3 linked regions of the Schizosaccharomyces pombe genome follow. Changing the gene in region 1 together with any one later gene gives a genetic interaction. Each region holds a gene or a part of one and is shown in the gene's direction. Other genes may lie near its edges.

Region 1 (5,161 bases):
ATCTATTTATATGTTTTTTTGGGTTTAATCGCTTCATTTTATTTTTGGGTATCTTGGATAAACATTAGCTGGTTCTTCGATTTGTAAAAACATATATCCTTGAAGTTCGAGCTTCACTATTAATCAAGCATGTTTTCAGTCATTGGAAGAGGAATAAAGTTTTCTTCGAAATCTCATTACTCGGTATCATGCTTTTTGATTGCTACACAAGGAGCGAAGATTCGCCAGATCCACACACATAATACATTTTTTAAGAATTTCTCTTTTGCTAAGCTTGGCCGAAATCAGCGTACTTCTTCCTTAATAAAAATTCACAACTCTTCGACTTCTTTCCCCAAATCTAGGTCCGAGAAAGTGGTTTACACTCCTAGTCTGCCATTGTCGTCCTCCGTCTTAGCATCTTTTTCTTTCTTACCTCATAATATCCTCCAAAACGGCCTTAATACGCTTCATATTTGGAGCGGCCTTCCTTGGTGGGCTTCAATTGCTGCATGTGCTGTTGCTATGAGAATTGCAGTATTTCCTATTATGTTAAAGATGATGAAAACGTCCGCAAAGCTCGCTATCATTAACCCAAAGGTTGCTGAACACATGAGTGTGTTGAGTAAAGCAAAGGCTGAAGGAAACAGCGAATTAATGATGCAAGCTACCACTCAAATCCAAAACCTTTATAAAGTTAACAATGTTAACCCTTTGAATTTGCTTTCTGCTCCTGTATTTCAGGGAATTCTGTTTATTAGCTTTTTTTACGCGTTGAAGACAATGGCGGGTGTACCTGTAGAGGGTTTCACTGATGGTGGTTTTTGGTGGGTTAATGATTTATCCCAGCCTGATCCTCTACACATATTTCCGGTTGCAAACGGCCTTCTTATGCTGCTCAATATAGAGCTTGGTAGCGAAACTGGAAGTAATAAGGTTGCTATGTCTCCCTCAATGAAAAAATTTTTTAGATTTCTTTGCCTTGCCAGTCCACTATTCACTATGAATTTTCCTATGGCAATTTTTATGTATTGGTTTCCTAGCAATGTCTTCAGTGTATTTCAAGGGGCATTTTTGCGTTCATCCACCATAAGGCATAAACTTGGCTTACCAGAAGTCCCATCTGCTATGCCAGTACCGAACGCTCAAAATGAATCGTTTGTTAAGTCATTTACCGATATTGTCCATGGGGTTCAAGAAAAAGGTAAATACCCACAAGCCTCTGAAATACTAGATGCTACACGTTTCCTTAAAACCGATACAAACAATGAGCAAAAACCTACTAATAATAGTACAATTACCAAAGCTACTACGCTATCTGATAATTCTCAAAATGACAAGTCCTCTTCTGTTACCAAACCCACCGAGAAGAAAGATTAAGCTTTTTTGTGTGCTTTGGAATTCTCTTTCTTAGAAGTGTTCCAATGTCCTATTGAGAGCATAAAAGTTTGTAAGATATGGTTAATTTTTTACATTTGTTGCATTATTCATTTCTTTCCTTTGGCTTTATCCCATAATTTTACATATGTTTTAGTTTTTGCATATATCTTCACACTTGCAACACTCTTTTCTATTTCCTTTACTTCTAATAAAATACCCAAATTTACATTTATTTTGCTTATTCTTTCTAAAAATCGCTTTTGTCTAATTCTTTACTACGGAAAGCGATGAGAAATCAAAGAATATTTACAATAACCTAAAATTTGACGTAGCCGTCTAAACAAAAAATAAAATGATTATTAACTCTTAAAGTGTTTTATGGATATTTATTTTATCAATAAAACTATCGTTATTTCAGTTAGGTAATCATGGAATGTAAGTTTCATCAAATCAACTTAGTTTGCTTCTCTCAAAAATGAGCAAGGCAATATAATTAGGAAGGAATTCAGGTAGTATTTGGGTTCCCTTTCTACAAGTTCATTTCTTATTACTAACACGATTGGTTATTAAGATATGTTTGTCTAAGCGGCGATTGTTTGTAAATTTTTAAATATACAGAAGTAAAGATTATGATGAAATATATCTATATTATAAAAAAAAAAAAAAGTACTTAGAATTGTAAACAGATATGTTTTTTGTTCACATGGTTCATTGAGAAAAGCAATTACGAATTTCTTTGCTTTTCGTTAAACCATTTTCCAAAACCGCCGGGACGATGTAAGTATAACAAACCAGAATCTACCAAAACTTTTTGCAAGAATATCTAGCATTTTACCCAGGCTGTATATAGGCTTGCAAAAGTTACTAATATGACTTCGGGTCCTCATAATTTAGAAGACCCAATAGTTCGAGCAATTCGCCAAAAAAATCAAGCTCCTTCTCATGATTTTACAATATTTGTTCAAGAAGATGGCTCTAGTGTTAGCACACTGGATAGAGTAGTGAAAAGTACGGATATTTTTGAAAGAAATTAGTCTTATTAACAATCAAAGATGTTCAAGCACCAGCAACTTATATTCCGACGGACGTGGAGTTTTTTGATATTAATGAACCTGATAAACCTGACTTGCATTTTCTTCGCAATCATTTCATTCGGGAAGGCCGTTTATCTGAGGAACAAACGTTGTATATTATAAAAAAGGCTACAGAAATTTTGAAGTCAGAAGACAACTTGATTGAGGTGGATGCACCTGTCACTGGTATGTTGATTATCACCTTTCATATTTAGGCCCTAATTACTATAAGGTAAAATATTAGAACTTTGAAATGTAATTTATGACTATGTTTTTCCTTCATTTTAATTTGGGTCGATATTTTGTTTGTATTGCAATATTCTTCGGTCTGACAGCTTAGTATGCGGTGACATTCACGGCCAATATTATGATCTTATGAAACTATTTGAAGTTGGAGGTAATCCAGCAAATACCCAATATCTTTTCCTTGGAGATTACGTGGATCGAGGATATTTCTCAATTGAGTGTTTATTGTACTTGTGGGCTTTGAAAATATGGTATCCGAAAACGCTTTGGTTGCTTCGTGGCAATCACGAATGCGCTCATCTTACTGACTATTTTACCTTCAAGTTAGAATGTACTCATAAGTATAATATTAAAGTTTATGAAGCTTGTTTACAATCTTTTAATGCCCTTCCTTTGGCAGCTATTATGAATAAGCAATTTTTATGTGTACATGGTGGATTATCACCCGAACTACATACTTTGAATGATATACGAATGATCAATCGTTTTTGTGAGCCTCCAACTCATGGGTTGATGTGTGATTTACTCTGGTCTGATCCCCTTGAAGATTTTGGATCGGAAAAATCAAACAAGCATTTTATTCATAATAATGTTCGTGGCTGTTCTTACTTTTATAGTTACCAAGCTGTTTGCACCTTCTTAGAAAACAATAATCTCCTCTCCGTTATTCGTGCTCATGAAGCTCAAGATGTGGGCTATCGAATGTATCGCAAAACTAAAACAACCGGGTTTCCATCTTTGATGACCATATTTTCAGCACCCAACTATTTGGATGTTTACAATAATAAAGCTGCTGTTTTGAAATACGAAAATAATGTAATGAATATAAGACAATTTAATTGTTCCCCTCATCCTTACTGGCTTCCTAACTTTATGGATGTTTTTACTTGGAGTCTTCCATTTGTGGGCGAAAAAGTTTCTGAAATGTTGATTTCAATGCTCAATATATGTTCTAAGGAGGAGCTTTATGAAACGGATTTGAAAGAATCGGCTCCGACTCAGCATAAACAGCCTGCTCCATCTGAGAATGAAAATAAAGCCGACCAAGAAATTGATATTGAAGCTCGTAGGCAAATTATTAAAAACAAGATTATGGCTATTGGCCGTATCTCTCGAGTATTCAGTGTGCTTAGAGAAGAACGGGAAAGTGTTTCGGAACTGAAAAACGTGTCAGGTACGCAAAGATTACCTGCGGGTACTTTAATGTTGGGAGCTGAGGGTATCAAAAATGCTATCAATTCCTTCGATGATGCTCGTAAGCTGGATATCCAAAATGAACGTTTACCGCCATCTAATAGCCGTCGACGTTCTACGGATTTAAAGGCTTTCGAAGAAGTAATGAATTCGTCTGAAGATGATACCTCTATCGATCATTTGGTAGAACGCTTTGCAGATAAGAAAAGCTCTTTGTAGATACCAAAACCTGCGCATATTCGTTTTTTAGTTGGAATTTTTCAATGAGCATAAACCTGATCCGAGGTTTTAAGCATACTTACAACAAATATCTAAACACTCAAAATAAAGAAAGCAAATGAGTTTACTTTAGCATAATACAAGATAACCGATGACTAGATACATAAGCATTGCATTTAGATATTCATAATAAACTTTTTGGTATTCATAACTATGAAACCTTTTATAAAACAAGCAAACAAAAGACGACTACTTTTTGCATAATGAAAGATTGTAAAAAGGGGTATTCGCATGGCACGCTCCACCGTAAAAAAGAATGATAATAAATATAGCAACAGATAATTTAAAATATCTAGCTGACTGTTCTCCGAACTTATACTGCAGTAAAGCTGGCAAATATAAGATCATATCCAGGAAAGTCATACACTATAAATTCTTCACGCTTATAAGAGCTAAAAGATTTAAGTTTGGCCGAGAAATGCTTCTCTTGAGACGCACCTTTAGCCTGGAAAAGGGTAAGACAAAATTTGTTTGCACCAAAAGTTTTAACAGTTTTTTCGATTGTTTCAGATATGGATCTTCCGAATTGGAATTGCGAAACATTTGTTTCAAATGAAGCATAAGAACAATGTTCTTGAGGCGTAACATGGATTGTGGCATAGCGGTCCTTGTAAATCATATTCGACGAGAACCCAATTGGCTCAAATTGAAAAGCATCAAGCACTGCTTTTTTATCAGAGGTACTACATAAGTCTCTAACACCCGATTCATCAGCTACATAACTGCCAAGGATGTGACCCCCCGAGAGATTGTTTTTTTCTCGAACATAGTCATCACCTCTAGCGCTCCGAACAACATCCAAGGATGGAGCGTAAAACTGAAGCGAGCGTTCGGGAGACATATCAGTCATGAGTACCTCTAGGGTCTCATCTTCAGGATCAAGGGAATCTTCCAGTAAAGAATAATCATCAGCCAGATCAGAAAACAGATGCCAGTGATTCTTGTTTGTCGGACCCACTACATAAGAGCATCCACTTGGAAAAAACAGTTGTAAGTAACGAACTTCTTCC
Region 2 (4,637 bases), 2.1 Mb from region 1:
CTCTTCTAGGGTTTCAACGAATGATACAACTAATGTTGCCGGTATTCGAAGCCAAAGATCATTTACTACTCATATCGATTTGAAAAAGCTTACCACGAGGCAAAATGGCGCAAAAAAATCATCGTATACTGGAACTAATCCATGCGTCTTAAATTATTTAAATAAAATTTATGCAGAAGCAGCGGCTTCGACACTTAACGTTGGTGCTGCTGTTTCACCAAGCTGGGCTTCTAATATACCTTTGCGTCGTAGAACAAAGGTGTCTGCGAAGGCTGCGAATAAAATAGTTCAGACTCATGAATGGCATCCAGAAGGATCACGAGTTGCTCAGATATATTTAGGAAGCCTTCTTGATGGAGGTACGAAGAAAGTTTTGGTTAGTCCAGATTCATCTTTTTTCGTTACCTTGGGATCTGACGGTGTTGTAAGAGCATGGCAATTAGTTGAAAGTGTTCGTCATATTTCAACTATGAGATGTGAATGCCGATTAAGTTATGGGCATACGCGACGTAATGGCGAGAGGAATAGATTTTCTGTGGTCAATGGATGCTTTCTAGGTAATACATACGCTTTTGCTTCTGTTACTCAAGATGGCTCTGTGGAAGTTCACAGACTTGACGTTAACAATCAGCGGCATACTCTAATTTCGGCTGGTCGTATTCCCAATTTGGATTTCAGTGATTCTGTAACCTCCATGGAAGCTTCTACATTTCACGACGGGAGTATCCGTCTAGTCGTTGTTACAAAATGGTCACGCATCGTATACTTAGACGTGGGAATGATGAGGGTTTTGTCATCAGACCAATTACCATTACAGTGTGGGTCAGCTACTAGTGTAGTAGTTTCTGAGGGTTGTAATTGGGCTTTAATTGGGACTACCAAAGGATGGCTCTTACTTTGGGACCTCCGCTTTGGGACATTATCATGCTCTTGGCATATGCCAGCCAGGATTGATCAGATGCATCTTCTTTTAGATGTTACCAAAAAACGTAGCAACGTTAATGAGTATACTTCCGGAAATAACAATAGTCCCGTTACCAAGGTTCCAGGTAGCTCAAGTACAAGTTCAAGTAGTACTCAGCCAATTAACTCTACTATTCCCATCAATCCTTTAGAAAATCACGGAATGTTAAACTCGTTTGGAAGCACTACAGTCAGTATCAGTTTTAGCGTCCTTACCAACTTGGATAATAAAGAAGTTAATCTTGAAGATGCAGTTCCAGCGAGTCACAGATCCGCTTCAGGCATAGTAAATTTTGACGTTGAAAAAGGGAAAACCGAAGAGGTTTTCTTAGAAAACTGGAATTCTTCACTCACCAGTCCGATTCCGGTATCTGTTGGAATTGATGCTTTTAATGAAAAAAAAAAGTTTGATATAGATTCTGGCAATGACATGGGATTAAGAGATTTGAATACCAAATTCGACTCTCCTTGGCCTTGTATATCTAGTCCAATCTATAGGTACAGAGGTCCGTCTGCAGGTTCTGTCGAACGAGAGCCACTTTTTCTCATTGCCGCTTCTGGAAGCCCTCATGCGTTTATTTGGAATCCCCACAATGTCTCTGCTAGTTCGTCGGTGACCAACGACTCCGAGAGTTCAAAACTATCTTTAATACATAACAAACCTCCTATCTACCAAAAAGTCTCTGAACAACAGAATGTACGCCCAAAGTCTTCGGGAGTGTCAAGGCCTCTTCTATTCCTTCAACAGCAAAAGAATCTACCTAGCGAAAATCGTCTGCACCCCATCGTTGACATGGCCTTCTTGTACCAACCGTACGCTATAGTGCTTATTGTTGACGCTTTTGGTAGTCTTGAACTCTGGACCTAGTTTCTTTTAGTATTCCTCATATATTTATTAGATTTGTATGCATATTCTTTAATACCATAAATTCCATCTGATAGTCTTCAAATCTAACCGACTTGCATTCAAATAGTGAAATATAAGGCATCGTTAATCACTACAAGTGATGTACTGTAGTTTTTTCCACATCCCTTTTGCCAAACAGCTAAAAATTCAAGTTGCATGCTATAAGTCGCAAGGATGGACCGTCGACATCGTGTTTACCGTGTGTTTAACCAGGAGATGTATGTCGAGCCTAATTTTAAGGTATGAGATATTTGGGTAACTGCTGCATTTGCAAAACATTTTGTTTACTTGACAGAAAATCGCATCTGCTTGAACTTTTAGGAAAACTAACATAGTTTAGGTAGTGAAGGAGTTGGGTCAAGGCGCTTACGGCATTGTTTGTGCAGCAAGAAACGTGGCTAGCAAAGATCAAGAGGCTGTAGCCATAAAAAAAATTACGAATGTGTTTTCTAAATCCATTCTTACAAAAAGAGCTTTGAGAGAGATAAAACTGCTGATTCATTTTCGTAATCATCGTAACGTAAGTCTTTTATGCAAAAACGGCTTCCTGTGATTGATTACTCATCATCACCGGGATGTATTAACGAGGTGCATTTTGATGAAAATGCAAATTTTTATACAATGAAAAGTCTTCTATGAGAAATGAGTTCTAATCATCCTTGAAAAGTATTTCCTTTATAAATCTTGATATAATGTTTGGAATTCGGTTGATTAAAAAATTTGAACTGCTCATTGTCTTACATTTGCATAGTGATGTCTTTCCTATTTTTTATAAACTTTACTAACATGGTAGATTACTTGCATTTACGATCTCGACATTATAAATCCATACAATTTTAATGAAGTTTACATTTACGAAGAGTTGGTATGTTACGCGATGATCCACATATGGTGTCTGTTTTAGTCACGGAAATATTTGTATAATTACTTACTAACTATTATAATAGATGGAGGCCGATTTGAATGCTATTATTAAATCCGGTCAGCCATTAACGGATGCGCATTTTCAATCATTCATTTACCAGATACTTTGTGGTTTAAAGTATATTCATTCTGCCAACGTTATTCATCGTGACTTAAAGCCAGGTAATCTTTTAGTTAACGCTGATTGTGAGCTGAAAATTTGCGATTTTGGCCTCGCTCGCGGATGTTCTGAAAATCCAGAAGAAAATCCTGGTTTTATGACGGAGTATGTGGCAACGCGCTGGTACAGAGCTCCGGAAATTATGCTTTCGTTCAGCAGCTATCATAAAGGTATTGATGTTTGGAGTGTTGGTTGCATTTTGGCAGAGCTATTAGGTGGAACCCCTTTGTTTAAGGGAAAAGATTTTGTTCATCAGTTAAATTTAATTTTGCATCAACTTGGCACACCTGATGAGGAAACCCTGTCTCATATAAGCAGTTCCCGTGCACAGGAGTATGTTCGAAGCTTGCCAAAGCAAAGACCTATTCCTTTTGAAACCAATTTTCCTAAAGCCAATCCTTTGGCTCTTGACCTGCTTGCTAAGCTCTTGGCTTTCGACCCCAACAGACGTATTTCGGTTGACGATGCTTTAGAACATCCCTATTTAGCTGTTTGGCATGATCCCTCTGACGAACCTGTGTGTGATTCCGTCTTTGATTTCAGCTTTGAATACATTGAGGATGCAAATGAGTTACGCCGTGTCATTTTAGATGAAGTTTTAAACTTCCGTCAGAAAGTCCGACGCCGCTCTCATCCAACAAACCCAACAGTCAACATCCCGCAACCAGCCCAAACCGTTCCATCTAATGACAATGGTTCTTTCAATGTTAGTAGCTCTTCATCCTCTCAAACCTCTAACAAAAAGCGCCATGATCATTCTTATAATGAAACTGCTGCTATAGACCATAAGTCTGATGATAATCGCCATAACTAATACATTGGCAGCAGCTGGTTTTATTGAGCCTTTTTACGGTAACATTTGCATACAAATCATTCATTGCGTTTTCTCATTTTTACATAAATTAGCTATTGCTATCTTTTGAGCTTTGCTGGCTACTGTCGAATCTCTGTTTGCTCGTTTAATTTCCATAAAAAATACTCATTTGCATTAGTCCTTCATTTACTGTTTTGCATATAATATTTGGCGATCTTTGTGCTCCCTTTTCTTGCACGCTTTATAGTCTCACAGCTTGAAACATTTTGTTATACATACATGCATGCATATACACCCGTACTACAACTAGAAAAATATATAAATAGAACAGCTAATTACTTAAAAATATTACTTTTACTAGTGAACGAGTATATCTGTGGTAGAGTAATTTCCTTTATTAGGGAACATCCCAATGAAATCACAAAACTAACTAACCAAGACAAAATAGATGAATAAATACATCAGTCATGAATTTGTATCCTGCAACAATTAAACAACATTCGTGCACAAGGATAGCTCTCTTCAAGTAGAAGCGTCTTATAATGAAATGCAAAGCGGTCGAATATGAAATTATGTGCATATTTTTATAAATCAGAAAAAATATGTAAGATGATATTCGAGACGCGAATGAAGTTTTACAATAGAAAGGGAAAGCCTTTACAAATACCTGCAAAAAAGGTCGTACAGATTCCGTTGTTTTTTGGGAAAGCAAATCATGATGCGCAAATCCTATATAAAAGGAACAGTTTTTTTTAGGAGAAAATTTTGGCAATTGCCGCTATGGCATCCATTACTAGCAATGAAATAAAGCAGAAGGCGGGCGACCTTGATTCCAGTAAAGGCTAACGGGAAAAATAAAAGGGAAAAAC
Region 3 (5,166 bases), on another chromosome or scaffold:
CTTCCCTCATACAATTTTGGCGTTCCAGTTCTATATTCTCTAGCCTCTCTAAAGCATTGCTAATAAGAGAATATTCCCAAAGAATTTGTTGACTATCCGGCTGAGTTTGGGTAATCGGAAGGTTTTGAAATGAAGAAGGGTCAAGCGAAAGATTGAAGCAATACTCAATGAATGCGATATCCATGAATATCGGCATTTTTTCATGACACATTGATTTCGAATAACCCAAATATCGTAAGCAGGCTAATTGGTTAATGATTTTCAAGATTGGCTTTCATACCGTTCACAATGGAAGATTCTTCTCTCTGCATATCATAATGATTTTCCTTGATGAAAAACGTTTCTAGTGTATTCAGCACAGATTGTGAACGAATCTTCTCATTCATTTTATGGAAAAAACTAATCTATACACGAAGGATAAAAGTATAAAAAGTTGGTAAAGTCAATGTAAGTTGGTCTACGAGATAAAATGAATACCATTCCGTAAGAGAAAATAAATCATTTAATAAAGAAATCTAAAAACGAATGGATCGAATAGCTTTGTCTACTGTTATGTTTCTTGGAACATCGTACAGAAGACGAATTTAACTCCTTAAAGAAGTGTATTTTGTTTAATGTTATAAATTATTCCCTTAAACAGTGAACTGCTTTATCCAAAAAAGCGGTAAGCAAAATTTCCAAATGAAAAAAGTATTTGAATGGAAGATCGACTTTGGCGTGACAAAAGAATAAATTTTACTCTCCATTTTAAGTCCTTCATTTTCATAACGCTATGCCAATTACCTTGGATCACGGTGGTGTTTGTGCCTTAAGACATGAAAAGCTTACGAAATAAACATGCTTTAGGCGATTGATCATTTCTTCCAAGATATTTTTCCTTATTCAATCTCAAAAATTACTCTAATTTGTTATTTGCTAGAACTAAATGATCCATCTGATTGAATGTTTTTACTACCCAAGCCTCTTAAGATTCTATCCGAAGTTCTTTATTTACTTGTGCACAAAACCCGAAGGAATGGGAAAAGCAATTATCTATCTAGTAAGACAAAAAACATTAGATACTGTCCTTTGATTATAATTTCAATGGATTCTTAAAGTTGAATATTCAGTGCTAGCTTCTTTATATTATAGACATTCAAAGTAAACTTGAGAACGAAGAAAAGGAATATTGGATATTTCCTTTTTCTTTTTGTTAAATATATATATATATATATATTTTTGGAAAATAAAAATAAATTGATATGTTTGAAATAAACGAAGTATACGTTATGTGTATCTTACTTTAATTTTTTTTAACTTTATTTTATTATTTATTTTTTTTTTAAGGAAATTTCAAATCTTTAGATTTTCAAAATAGCTCAATCATTTGCTGTACTTATCCATGCAAGCTTAATCATTATAAATTGATTAATAGAGGTTCTAAAAAGTAAGCCTTTATAAAATTGGATTTACAGCATCCAGCTCTTCACGCAACACACCCATATCGATGCTTTTGTTTACGTTGAGCAGATTCGTTTTGTTTACATTCAACGAAATCGACGTTGTCAACGACTTCAAACATCGCAAGCTTATGGACTATTCGCAATAATGGAACTGGGTTTCAGAAGTTTTTGGCTTGGTAAATTCGGGATTGCTCCTTTCCCATACAGAAAGCGATAATTTTATCCATTTACTGCCATTAGTGCGAATTATTGGAGAATGTGCCGGACAATTCGGTGAACTCCGGTGACTTTATATATCTAGGGAAGAAACTGGTAGAAACAACACTTCGCTGGTATCAAGTGTTTTGCGGTGAAAGAGTTGATAAAAAAGAGAATTAAGCTGCTCTTTTCGGTAAATTAAAACATTTTGAATAACTTGGGAAAAAACTTGCTTTTGTAGGAACTGAAAAACGACGAAATTGACGTCTTCAAATTGTTTGTTAAAAAACGGAATCAAAAATTGTGTTTGGAGTCCATTGGCGAGTAAATTTTTAACTCTTCATATATGTTTGTAGGAAACACTAATGAAAATTGATTCAAACGGCATAGTGAATCCGCATTCTATAACGAACGAAATCCCTTCGTATGATGAAAAGCAGGCTGTCGATTTGAATGGGAATGCTTTTGCTCCAAATGGTACGTTTCAAAAAAAGGATTTGATATCCCATAAAAACGATTTCGAACGTACGATGCGCCACGATGTTCTTCATACCAACCCCAAAATCGAAGTTCGGTCGGAGACCCATATTTATGAACCTAACGATTCATTATTTAAGGAAAATCAAGATTTCCCCTCAAATCCCACTGCCCACTCTCCTTCTTCCTCTTCTAACGATTCGGTAATTACGGCTACTGGCGTACCTGATGGTATCTTGAGAGATTCTCCCATCGTAAGTGCCCTCGAGCCTCCTTCCTCCAATTCTTCCTCTTCTCCCCAATTACAAAATTTAAAGCATCAATTATCCTCTCCTCAACCTTCTCGCGCCCCCATAGATCGCTCTTCCTCCAACCCTGTAACCTCATCTCAGCAGCCACCTAATGATCGTTCCACGCTCAGCTCCTCGCAGAAGGCGAAGCGGCCGCTAAAGCGATCTTACTCCGAAAAAAATTCTAGCAACGCTGAACCTTCTGGCTCGAGATCCGGCGACCGAGGTACCAACGTCAGTACCTCGGGTTCTCTTTTGGATGGCATTCCCCCCGATATTGGCTCTGCTAGCTGGGCTGAAGCAGTCAAACAAAAACGTGTTAACATGCGCCGTCGCAGGGAAGAACTGGACGATGAGTGCGTTCTCGTTGGAACTAGAGTTTCAGAGGGCCATGAAAACTATGTTACAGCGTACAACATGCTTACTGGAATTCGCGTCGGTGTTTCTCGTTGCCAAGCGAAAATGGACCGTGAGCTTACTCCTGCTGATTTTACTGCTCGTCACAAGTTTACCTTTGACATTACTGGCAACGAACTCACTCCCTCCGCCAAGTATGATTTTAAGTTCAAAGATTATGCACCTTGGGTATTTAGACATCTAAGGCAGCTGTTTCATTTAGATGCTGCAGATTATCTTGTATCTCTTACCAGTAAGTACATTTTGTCTGAGTTAGATTCTCCTGGGAAAAGTGGTTCTTTTTTTTATTTTTCTCGTGACTATCGATTCATTATTAAAACAATCCATCACTCTGAGCACAAATTTTTGCGTGAAATTCTTTATGATTACTACGAACACGTCAAGAATAATCCGAACACATTGATTTCGCAATTTTATGGGTTGCATAGGGTAAAATTACCCTTTGGCCGAAAAATCCATTTTGTTGTAATGAACAACCTTTTCCCACCTCATCGTGATATCCACCAAACTTTTGATCTCAAAGGATCCACCCTAGGAAGGGAACTCGACGAAAATCAACCTTGTCAAAGTCCCATGTGTACAATGAAAGATACAAATTGGATTCGCAGAAATATGCATCTTCAGTTTGGTCCTTTAAAGCGTCAGATATTCTTAACTCAGGTCAAAGCCGATATTGATATGCTGTCCTCTTTAGGAATTATGGATTACAGTTTACTTGTCGGCATCCATGACCTTTCACGTGGTAATCGTGACAAAATTCGTAATAGCATTCTGTCAGTTTACGACCCAAATGTGTCGCAACATCGAGTGCCCTCGATTAATGGCAATGAATCTCACTCAAACGTTCATGTAATCAGACAAGTCGTTAATAGCACCGGTCCTGTTTCGTTGGATCAATCTTGTAATCTATTGCCGACCGACCAGTTCGTTGAGTAAGTGCTTATTATTTTTTTAACAATTAGACTATTTTTTAACACTATTTTAGGAGAAGAAACTTCATGTTCTACAGTGATGACGGTGGATTCCAAGCCACCGATGAAAACAATGAGCCAGGAAACTTTATCTTTTATATCGGAATAATTGACTTACTTACTAAGGTATGATAAATTGCGTAAATTTTTTTATGGGAATGCAAAGTCTTTTACTTGTTTTCCTTGTTTGCTTTTATTTTCATTATACTTACCGGTGTTTAGTATTCATATGTTAAGCGCGTTGAGCATTTATGGAAGGGCATTAATCATTCAGATTCTGTCATTTCTGCTGTTCCACCTGCTGAATACGCTTCACGCTTCTACAAATTTGTAGAGTCAAGTATTAAGCCAACTCTTTTAGTTTTGAAACCATTCCCCTTAAAACCGCAGGATGGCCAGCGTGTTAACAAACAGCAAAGCGTTAATGCTGGCAATGTGCGCACTAATAACAAGCATGGTTCTCTTAATAATAATACAGCTCCTTCTTCTCGCAATGCTAAAAGCACTTCTGCTCATAAATCACCCAAAACAGAACACCGATTTCCATTCCCATGCCGCAATGTTACTACGAACACTTCTTCATCTTAATAAATTTTAATGTCTTTGAAGTGCACATATTTCAAGTTTAATGCATTTATTTATAATGCTTTACCACCTTTTTATTCTTGTATATATTGGCTAATTTATCTTTTTATTTTAGAGAAAAAACAAAGCAAAGCATGTATGCCGAAGTGCATTAACGGATGCACAACCTATAACTTATTGCTCTAATTAGCGCTTTTATTATTTACATCTCAAATAACTTATGTTCGTCAGTTCCTCACCAATCTTTGTCAAAAAGCTATATTATTATGATATAACTTAAAATTCATTAGGAAGAAAGTATGCTTTTGTAACGAGTAAACGTATGTACTTAGAAAAGAGCGATTCATAGTAGTGGAAGTAGTTCAATTACGAAGACCTCTCAACTAAACATAAATAACTAGAGCATAAATTAATTTAAAGGCTGAACTAAGATCCAGGATTGTGTGTCTCAATAAATAAATCTTTGTAAAGAACAAGATGAATCGGGCATCTTCGTTGAAATAGTTAGTTTGTCATTCAGTTAGTAAAATTTGCCAAATCAGCAAGGATATCAATAACATTTGCAGGGTCTGCGATACACCAGTCGGCGATAGAAAGCTTTTTGTCGGATCCAATGGTAACTGCAAATGAAGTTTCCTTGTTAATACGAGTGTTTTTATGCAAAGAGCGGAACATATCTTCATCAGTTCTATCATCACCTGCACAAAAGATAAAAGAAGGAAGTGAATCTTCTGGATACGAACTTAAAATCTGTTTGACAATTCCTCCTTTGTTGATACTGGAAGG

The links.
Region 2: of ppb1 (region 1) and pmk1, a mutation in one rescues a mutant of the other (synthetic rescue), as found in Schizosaccharomyces pombe (4 studies listed by BioGRID).
Region 3: mutations in ppb1 (region 1) and its3 are lethal when combined (synthetic lethality), as found in Schizosaccharomyces pombe (2 studies listed by BioGRID).

The regions. Positions count from the first base shown.
Region 1 is NC_003423.3:2,871,769-2,876,929, forward strand, and holds ppb1 (calcium-dependent serine/threonine protein phosphatase calcineurin catalytic subunit Ppb1), read left to right. Parts: upstream 1-2,153; 5' UTR 2,154-2,228; coding exon 2,229-2,367; exon of another isoform or gene 2,368-2,411; coding exon 2,412-2,618; exon of another isoform or gene 2,619-2,772; coding exon 2,773-4,091; 3' UTR 4,092-4,341; downstream 4,342-5,161. Other genes in the region: oxa102 (translocase Oxa101), read left to right, coding at 130-1,359; S-adenosylmethionine decarboxylase proenzyme Spe2, read right to left, coding at 4,465-5,161. UniProt on the Schizosaccharomyces pombe protein: Calcium-dependent, calmodulin-stimulated protein phosphatase. This subunit may have a role in the calmodulin activation of calcineurin. Appears to be involved in cytokinesis, mating, transport, nuclear and spindle pole body positioning, and cell shape.
Region 2 is NC_003423.3:728,816-733,452, forward strand, and holds pmk1 (MAP kinase Pmk1), read left to right. Parts: upstream 1-2,000; 5' UTR 2,001-2,044; coding exon 2,045-2,110; exon of another isoform or gene 2,111-2,210; coding exon 2,211-2,390; intron 2,391-2,663; coding exon 2,664-2,735; intron 2,736-2,817; coding exon 2,818-3,768; 3' UTR 3,769-4,137; downstream 4,138-4,637. Other genes in the region: serine/threonine protein kinase Vps15, read left to right, coding at 1-1,831. UniProt on the Schizosaccharomyces pombe protein: Regulates cell integrity and functions coordinately with the protein kinase C pathway (pck1 and pck2). Involved the regulation of wall architecture, cell shape, cytokinesis in exponential and stationary phase, and metabolism of ions.
Region 3 is NC_003424.3:4,070,371-4,075,536, forward strand, and holds its3 (1-phosphatidylinositol-4-phosphate 5-kinase Its3), read left to right. Parts: upstream 1-1,765; 5' UTR 1,766-2,005; coding exon 2,006-3,756; exon of another isoform or gene 3,757-3,809; coding exon 3,810-3,921; exon of another isoform or gene 3,922-3,924; intron 3,925-4,017; coding exon 4,018-4,383; 3' UTR 4,384-4,666; downstream 4,667-5,166. Other genes in the region: protein Poz1, read right to left, coding at 1-243, 281-386; trehalose-6-phosphate phosphatase Tpp1, read right to left, coding at 4,897-5,166. UniProt on the Schizosaccharomyces pombe protein: Catalyzes the phosphorylation of phosphatidylinositol 4-phosphate on the fifth hydroxyl of the myo-inositol ring, to form phosphatidylinositol 4,5-bisphosphate. Involved, together with the calcineurin ppb1, in cytokinesis.